2 linked regions of the Nothobranchius furzeri genome follow. The protein of the gene in region 1 purifies or fractionates together with the protein of each later gene. This does not show direct contact. Links are inferred from orthologs where the notes say so. Each region holds a gene or a part of one and is shown on either strand. Other genes may lie near its edges.

Region 1 (4,660 bases):
GCTGTGGTCCCTTGCATAAACGAAAGCCTTGTGAATTGATCTCTGTGGGAAAATCAGCTCTCTTGTTCTCCTGTTCAGGAACTAGAAGGTTGACAGAAGAGGTGAGCAGAAGACAGCTGGTTTTGAAGCCTTATTTTCTGATATTCAGATATCTCACCTCTGATTGTTTAACACCAACACAACTCTACCATGGACTCGGTTTGCTCTGCAATGTTAATGTTTTATCGCCACAAATAACTCAAGCCTGAAAGAGTTGTGATGTGATGGAGATGCTAATGCTGATGGATAGGAGTCCATGAATGCAAATTTTCAACGTGAGGCAGAATTAACTGACTTTTCTAATCCAAGCGTTTACCCAGCAATGTTCTATCAGCGGCTAATGCTGGAAATAAGGGTATAGATGTTCATGTTCAGCCTGCATGTGACCGATCATAATTAAAAAAATAAGTACAAAACGGTAAAGTCTCTTTATTATCCTTGTTGTCACAGCAGCAACAACATTCATTAAAAGAGCAAAAACGGAGCGTAAAAAGTAAGAATAAAGAGTGAATGACAACAAACAAACAGAAGTATTTTATGTAAAACACTCAAGGATTAAAAATGCAAAGATACAGTATAAACACATTTTAAGGAATAAAAAGATTTTAAAAAATTAGACATAAGTAACAAATATCACTGATGTGTTTCTTATTTCAAAATTACTTGCTCGTGTATAACTTGGTTATTGTTATTGCAGATTCTGTGTTTATGCAAAATGAAAAGGTTCAATAATACATATAGATGGGCACATTTGCCGTCATTTTTTAATAATTGTTGAGTTTGGCCCGCAACTTCGTCCCAGTTTTTCGTTTCGGCCGAGTTCGAATTCGAGTTTGACGGCCCTGTTGTAGAGTGACCAAATACCTAAAGCTTTAAGAAAAAAGGGTTCTTTGTGTTCTATTTTGAAGGTGAGGGTTTCCCTTCGTCATGACGTATCCTCTGATCGGAATGACGCAGGCTGCTCCTATTGGTTTACGTCGACGCACGAGGCCTGTAGTTTGAAAGCTGCACGGGCCTTGAAAGCTGTACTGTTAGCAACATTACGAACAAAGTTATACTATTTTGAAATAAATCCAAGATATCTTGTAGTCAGTTTGCGGCAAGACGACAGCTACGTTAAGGGGAATGTTGTCAACACACGGAACGGAAGTCCGGCGGGATGCAAGACCAGAGAGGCGTCTTTGAATGGGAAGTTTTTCGTGACTGACTTGCCTGGAACTCTACGCAAGGAGAAAGGAAAGCTAGCTGGCTAAGTTGCTAGCGGGTAGCTAGCGGCAAAGTTGCGTGCTATTCACTTCCTTGTTGCACATTGGATTTTAATGGATGGCGAGAAGTTTACGTGGACAAGAGCTTTTGTTCGTTTTTGGACATTTTAATACTGCCTGATAAATGGATTAAAAGCCTCTCGTGAGCTGTTATATTTGGGTAGAATGGTGTTTTAAAAGATTCGGTGCTGATCCGGGCCTCATGAAATGGAATCAGACTCCGTAACCGTTAGCTAGCTTCACTGATTAGCTGTGGCTAACAAATCCGTCCTGGAATGCAATGGTTTAGTATGGACTGCCTCTATAACATAGCACCTCATTTGTAACGGAGTGTGGTGGAGTCTTTTGTCGCCAAGTGTCACTACTTTGTGTGGGAGCTCATTTGTGCTCGCTTTGTCATGGAAATGTATAGCTAATATCTTGCTAACGAACTGATTGTGCTGAGAAGTTGGCTAACTTAGCCACCTAGCCCAATGTTCTGTTCAACGACACAACAAGGGACATAGTTTACGTAATTCTCAACGTACAACTAGTCAGAACTTCGTCATTGATTTTCTATTTCAAGAATAAATGCCTAACTCGGAGGTGCTTCGAGAGGGTCGGAGACGAAGCCCCTCTGGGCAGCGGAATGCTAACAGGCAGGACAGACGGAGTAAACCGGGGAGCGGTGCCGCTCAGCGAGACAGGCACCGGGAAAAGAGGCGCTTGTCGGCGTCTCGGAGGAAGAAACGCAGGCAAGCCAGGAATAGAAACTTGTGGCCAGCTGGCACAACAGGAGACATCGAGAATGATCGAAGTAACGCTTTTGAAAAGGAGCTTGAACTTCGGACACTAGTAGAGTATGACGACGTGAGCTCCCAGTCGGAGCGTTTCTCTGGAAGCCCCTCTCCTAAATCCTACCCTCATGCGGACAGCCTGTCAGTGGATCAGCTTAGCGATGCTGACTTTGGGGAGTATAATGGACCATCATCCCCTGACAGAGGTCGCCTGGGAGGCCGAGAGGCAGTTTGCCTCCGTAAAGACGCCATAACAAGAGTACCATGTGCTAAGAGGAAACAAGAAAAGGTGGTAGGGAAGAAAAAGGAGCGTCAAAGTCGTGAGAAAGAGCCTTCCAAAGTCAGGAGCGGGGGTAACCTGAGCACCTCTAAAAACCACAGAGACACTGGAAAGAGCAGTGACAAAAACAGTAAGAGGACTTCTGCAGCCCAGGCCTCCCAATCTGGAGATAAAAAGGACTCAAAAAGACACAAAAGTAAAACAAGATCTGACAAAGAGCCCCCATCTGCCTACAGAGATGCTTTACAGTCTTACAGAGAAGAACGAGAGGATCCGAGGTCCTACAGGAGAAGTCCTGCTCCTAAAACTGAAAGTCCCTATGGGACATCCTATTCATGCAGCTACCAGTCTCCTGGTGGGTATAACCAGATATCTAGAAGAAGTCCAACTTATGGGAGTAAAAGAGCTTCTCCCAGTTCCACGTACTACAGCCGGGACATAGATGTGTATGGAGCGTATGGTGCTTCCAAGTCACCCAGCTCGTACTCCAGCAACAAGAGGAAGAGGTCCCCAACAAGCCCAGCCAACTGGCGAAGGTCACCAAGTTATGGTCGACACAGTCCGTATGAACAAGGAGAGTTCGTCTCAAGTCCTTATAAAAGCCGCAGGAGATCTCGCAGTCCTTATCGGAAGTCGCTGAGCCCAAGTCCCGATGTCAGGTAAGATCAGACGGGTTTCTGTTGAGATAACTCGGGACGCGCTGAACATCTGTCTGGGTTTGGTGCCGTTTTACTCAGTTCCAACACTTCACTCACCAGCTGCCTAGTTAAATAAAAGACAAAAACTAATCGGCTTCTAAAAAAACTTGTGGGGTTTGACACCCATCTACCTCCAGCCTGCTGCTGGAGCTATTTATTCTTTAATATTTGTTCTTGTGTTACGTGATAATGTTGGGTTATTTGCCTTTTTGTTTTTGTAATTATTACATTTTTGCTTTTGTACAAGGCCCGTGGTGTTAGAACAGAGCAGCAGCAGCTGAGTGACAAACATCACACTGCTGCAGTGGCTTGTTTATTTTTAAAATTCCCCCCAGTCAGCATTACTTCTGAGTGGAAGCCTAAATACAGATTTTTAAAAAATATTTTTTTGCAAAATTGGATTGCACAATAATTTTGTTCAGCAAAAAAAAACCACACATTACATTTTTTTGTGATCAGTTTGAAAGGAAAAGATTAATCAGAATAGTCTTATCAGCTCTGTGAGTCTATTATATCCCTCCTAGTCCGTCACGGGCCCTAAAGTTAGCGGACGAACCCAAGCGCCTCTTCGTGTGTTTTTATCATAACTGAGTTTGTGTTGCTTCCTGTCCAGGCGAAGGTCACGTAGCAGAAGTCCATATACAACCTCAAGGCCTTCACGCTCTCACAGCCGCCATCGCCACTCCCGTTCCCGCAGCCGCCCCTCCAGTCTTTCGCCGAGCACGCTCACGTTCAAATCCAGCCTCGCCGCTGAGCTCAGCAAGCAGAAGAAGGTTAAAGCTGCCGAGGCAGCGGCCAAAGCCAAGAATGCGAGCAACACGTTGACTCCAACCGAGGGTTCCTCATCGGTTCCTCAGCCCAGCCCTAAACTAAACCACACATCCAGGAAGGGACGTCCCCCCTCACCACCTCAACAAGAGAAGGGCCCCAGAACTCCCCCCTTGTGCCAGCCTCAGTCCCCTGCTAACAAGGTGTCCAAGAGGACCACGGAGCACCAGAACAGTAGGGACAGAGATGGGAAAGGGAGGGATGACTCCGTACACAGGGACAAGAGGAAAGCAGCAGCATCTGTGCAGAGCAAGGACAAGGATCGAACCACCGCTCCGGTTATTTCTACTCTGCTGTCGCTGCCGTTGCCCCCAGCAGCTGCTGAACACTCGGAGAAGGGAGACAGGTATGAATATCCCGATCACACGTGTGTTTTTGTGGTTCTTTATCAGTCATCGTTCTCATGCGCCCTCAAACAGCTTAAAGGACATCTCAGGAAAAAAGAAGATAGAGAGGAAGGCTCGTCAGCTCCTGGCGGACCTGCCGCTGCCCCCCGAGCTTCCTAGCGGCACGTCGTCCCCTCACAGTCCTCCTGAAGACAAAAAGTCCCAGACGCCTCGTCGAAGACCCAAGTAGGTTTTAATAATTCTCTACAGCCCCTTTTCTTCTCTTGGCCTCATTAAAATGTTTGCTTTTCATTTCTAGAATCTGTGGCCCAAGATTTGGTGAGATCAAAGAAACTGAGATCTACTGGGGGAAGCGGTGTGTGGACAAGTTTGAGATCATTGGAATCACGGGGGAAGGCACCTACGGTCAGGTGTACAAAGCTAAAGA
Region 2 (4,727 bases), on another chromosome or scaffold:
TTCAAAACAAGACTGAGGGACCTTTTAAAGGCCTTTGCAGGTGTTTTGAGTAAATCAGCTGATTAGAGTGGCAGCAGGTGTCTTCTATATTCAGCCTTTTCAGAATATTCTAATTTTTTGAGATACCAAATTTGGAGTTTTCATTAGTTGTCACTTATGAATATCAAATTTAAATGTAATGAACATTGGAAATACATTGGTCTGTGTGCATTGCATGAATATAATGTACAAGTTTCACGTTTTGAATGGAATTACTGAAATATTTTCAACCTTTTGATGATATTCTAATTTACTGGCCAGCACCTGTAAACTTTGTGTGTGATCCAATGTCTCTACAGGTACTTTCTGGGGTGGGGGTGGGGTGAGGGAGGGCGCTAAGCACATTGTGCCCAGGGGCCCCTGCAATGATGATCCAGCCCTGCTTCCATCGCTGCGATCATGCAATAGTCGTGTAGCTGGGCAAGAGGAGACATTGGAACATAAGGCAGTATGCTGACATTTCAGATGACGTCATTAATTTTGGAGGGGGAAAAAAACAAGCATCTTTGTTAAATGTTTATTTGCAGGGCTCTAAAGTGTGTGTGGCCCAGGGCAGTCACCTGTCTTTGATCAGTAATGTTGCCACATCACTTGCTTATAACAAAAATGGTCATTCCACTGTGGTAATTCAAATTCAGCAACAACTGAATACTGAAGTATTTGGGTGGCAGGACAAGTGGCTGATGTCACTGCTCTGAATGGAAGTTTGAATGGTGTGCATGTGCTCCAGGTAGCAAGTGACTCAAATATCAACGAAAGCCAAACAAGTGAAGACGTGTGTTATCTGTTCATCGTAGATGTCACAATTTTTATGTCTTTTCTTTTACTGCGTGTTTAAAGAACTGGCCACCTGTGAGGCCCCACACCACAGAAATATCGCTTCAGTTATTATTTCGTCAAATTCTAAGGAAATGTTATTTAGAAGGTTGGATGTACATGTGGGTGGTGTTCTTTGAACATGTGAAAAACAAACCCTGCCTCAAGTCAAAGAAAACAACAACTGCCTTATCTACAATGAGCAGTTTTTATTCAATCATTTACAATAAAGTCAAACGTAAAGGCTGTGTGTCCTAACCATTACACACGACTGTCAGCTTCTACATGCAAATGTGAACTCCAACCATCACAACAGAGCACAGTGCTGGGCTGTTTTCAGCTTTCTATTTATTCTGGAAACGACTAAACACTGAGAATATTACATTTCAGTTTAGGCCATATTAAGTAGAATTTTAAAAAGACTGTTGGGCCCTGAGGGCTCTCTGTGAATAATACCGAGCATCATGTGGGGCGCTAAAGGTCTAAACCACCACCTACTCATCAGATTAGTCACAGAGTCTGCATGAATCATTTTCACTCACCAGTAAAAGTACTTATTAATGTGTTTAGATCTTGGTGGTGATGTGGTCTAATTATCAGAAAAGTGTGTGCCCCAAACATTGACTGTAAAAATGTGACATAAGAGAAAGAAAAAGAAAATAAACATTTAGCAATCTCTAGAACTCAACAAAAATTTAGAATTTTCAAAAATAAACAAACAAAAAAAGATGAGAAGCCAGATCTGAGAAGACAAAAAGCAGTCAGATAGATGTGTGTTCGTACACACCTACACAAACTCACACAAATACATGATGTTCAGAGATGTTCAAAACACACAAGCAGCAGATTCAGGGGCCACTGAGGCAACTGAAAACCTGCTGTCAACATCATTCCCTTCGATCTTACTAAACAGTGTAGGAAAGTTATTTCACCCATTAGCTAACTAATCATACATAAAAAGCTGTTAACCATACAGTGGGTAAGCCAGAAGGGTTTCCTTGTCACTCTGTCTTATCTTCTCCCTGCTCCTGTTTCACCTCTTCATAAGTGGCTTCTTCCTCTTTCTCAACCCCAGCAGCTTCTTTAGCATTTGGGACCCAGAGTCCTGAGTCAATGCATCTCTTCATGTGAAGCTTTGCCTCCTAAATTGTGAGAAAGAATCACAATAAATTGCAATTTCAGTCAAATAATGTCAATATATAACAAACCTAATCAACAACATAAGAATAACCTACCGTCGGGTCCATTTTGCTAATAACATCCTGTAGCATCTGGATGTCCTTCTCATCAAAACATTTCTGCATCTCCTACAATTAAACACACTTTATTACAACACAGGTAAAACAGTGACATCAGAAATATGTCATTTGTCACTCAGTCAGCCACTCTCCCCCACCTCCAAATGTCACACCACTCAACACCACCACCCTTCCTCAGGACCAATTCAAGTTTATTTACAAAGCGCCAAATCATGACAAGAATTGTCTCAAGGCATTTCACATTGTAAACATTCCAATACAGGTCAGTTCATTAAACCAATCAGTAAAAAGTTTCCTATATAAGGAACCCTGCAAATTGCATCAAGTCACTGACTAGTGTCAGAGTCTTTACAGCATGTTCACCCCCTCTGCAGTAAGAGCGTGTAGCTCCTCAGTTTAACTGATACTGGCATGATCCTGGTACACAATAACACCAATGCAATATTCAGTGTGTGTTCAATACTTGTGCAATACCTGATTCACATTAGCATGTGTGTGTCCCCTATGCTGCAACGTTCTGGAAACCCAAGTTTCTTTTCATTTGTTGTTTTTAGTGGTTGAAGGTTAGCTTACTGCCTCTGTGTGTTTACCTGTAATCTTATTACTTTTCTACTTCCTGTTCTCTAAGTGGATGTGTTGCTGTAGTACGTTCATTTCCCCACTGTGGAATTAATAAACTCTATTCTATCTGAATGTCCTTCCCATCAAATCATTTCTGCATCTCATATAATTAAAAACACTCTGTATTACAACGCAGGTAAAACAGCGACATCAGAAATATGGTTAACACATTCACTTACAGGTGGAAGGGACTCGTACACCTCCGCGGGGTCTAGTCCCCCAGGACCCATGCGTTTCTGTCGTTCTTCTTCTTCATACTCTTTAATGGCCTTTTCGATGCGGATCTTGGCTCTTCCACGGACTCGCTCCTTGAATGACTCCAGCTCATCGTTGAAAGCATCCTGGTACTGCTGGTCTGCTGTCTGGGTGAATAAACATACAAGAAAAGTAACATGAAAGCACTTCCAACATGGAGTGTTTTCAGAAACTTCATCAAAACAAACAAGAATAGATATAATTTTACTTTTTAAAAAAGTATCCCCTTAAAAACGTATGTAATACAAAAGTCCAAACACGTAATAATTACCTTGATCTTTGCAAAAAACTGGCGAAAGCAACCACGGGGGTCCAGTTTGAGGCTTTTGGCCAACTCAAGAATGAACTGCATAACGATGGTCTGATGAGCCACCTGTTCCATCAGAGCATGTTTCTGCAAAACGAAGAGGCACAGAGGCTCATGTTCTAATCAGACAGTGACCATGTAAGACATACAATAGTAGCACGAGATTTCTTTTAAGCTGTTTACCTCCTCAACTTCAAGGTCAATACACATGATGACAAGGTAGTTGGCAGTTTCTTCACATACAAGATGAGGATTGTCAGAGAGGTACTTCTGGCTGTCATCCCAGCGTCGCAGCATGCCTGAGGTTACCACAGCGACAAATCAGCATCTCTATTTTTACTGTCCTACTGATTTGCTCATTTTAATCATGGTTGTCAGGCGGGCTTACCAAAATGTTTGAGCTGCTTTTCGTTCTTCTCCACAAAAGTTTTATGTTTTTGCTCCTTCTCCTCTTCTGTCTCTTCAGAAGGGTCTGGTTTGACGTTAACAATGCTCTAATGAAGACAAACAAAACACCGTTAATAGATGACGACTGCATTCAAATGCATTTTATTGCATCGTTCTGTAAGTTAACGGCATGTTAGAATGTTGTATATAAGCTCTAAATATTCAAAAATAACACACTTCATATAAACCTTGATTATGTTTATTTACAATTAAAGGATGATTTTAGTTTGTATTTTCAGGAGATTGTATACAAGCTACTCCCAACAAAAAAATGACCAACATTCATGCTGAGCATCAAACTAGACTGATTTTAAACATGAAATTGGGGGAAAAAAATATTGCCATCAAACCGCTGAGACAACTATTGATTATAAATTGACAGGTCTGCCAACATTGATACCAGTGGATGCAAACCAATACTTTCTATTTCGCAGTAAGCTGTTGCCTGATCCTAGTCACCTTGCTGAAACCATCTCTGCTGAGTGTGTCCACGTTCCACGGCATCTTCTTCTCCTCTCTGTTGTATTCATCCAACTTCCTCTCCCAATCTCTCTCCTCCTTTTTCAATTTCTTCTCCTCAGCCTGGACTTTGCTCAGCTCTGCTTTGGCCTCACCCGACACATTTAGCTCTTGCAGTTTCTTTTGCGTCTCAGTCAGCTTGCGCCGACATTCTTTCAGGCTCTTGTTGATGTCTTCTCCTTTTTTCTGGAACTCTTCCATTCGATCCACACGTGCCTGAAATGGGATGATGCCAATCACAACTGGAGGTACAAAACTTTTACAATACACTTTGTTACAAGTTTTGTAGGCTTAGTAATTCACTACAGCTACATAAACAGGTTTGCTAGGAATTAGCATAGGGAGAATGTTGTTTGCAACACCAAACTGAGTCTAGGACGCCAGCTAACCAAAGTACCAGTCCGAAGTTAAAAGAAAATCAAAACTCAGTCACGTTATAAATCAAAAAGGTACCTGGTGTCTCC

What was found. Proteins that work in one complex are often made in the same cells at the same time.
Region 2: the proteins of cdk13 (region 1) and cdc37 purify together in Homo sapiens (affinity purification with mass spectrometry; 3 studies listed by BioGRID and IntAct, with this or other methods). This does not show direct contact. The link is inferred for Nothobranchius furzeri from reciprocal best matches to the Homo sapiens genes CDK13 and CDC37.

What each region holds. Positions count from the first base shown.
Region 1 is NC_091747.1:43,581,473-43,586,132, reverse strand, and holds the start of cdk13 (cyclin-dependent kinase 13), read left to right. Parts: upstream 1-1,659; 5' UTR 1,660-1,874; coding exon 1,875-3,019; intron 3,020-3,671; coding exon 3,672-4,232; intron 4,233-4,305; coding exon 4,306-4,458; intron 4,459-4,531; coding exon 4,532-4,660. UniProt on the Homo sapiens protein: Cyclin-dependent kinase which displays CTD kinase activity and is required for RNA splicing.
Region 2 is NC_091745.1:3,433,222-3,437,948, reverse strand, and holds the end of cdc37 (hsp90 co-chaperone Cdc37), read right to left. Parts: coding exon 4,717-4,727; intron 4,480-4,716; coding exon 4,204-4,479; intron 3,792-4,203; coding exon 3,686-3,791; intron 3,597-3,685; coding exon 3,481-3,596; intron 3,385-3,480; coding exon 3,262-3,384; intron 3,098-3,261; coding exon 2,915-3,097; intron 2,163-2,914; coding exon 2,091-2,162; intron 1,998-2,090; coding exon 1,857-1,997; 3' UTR 1,045-1,856; downstream 1-1,044. UniProt on the Homo sapiens protein: Co-chaperone that binds to numerous kinases and promotes their interaction with the Hsp90 complex, resulting in stabilization and promotion of their activity. Inhibits HSP90AA1 ATPase activity.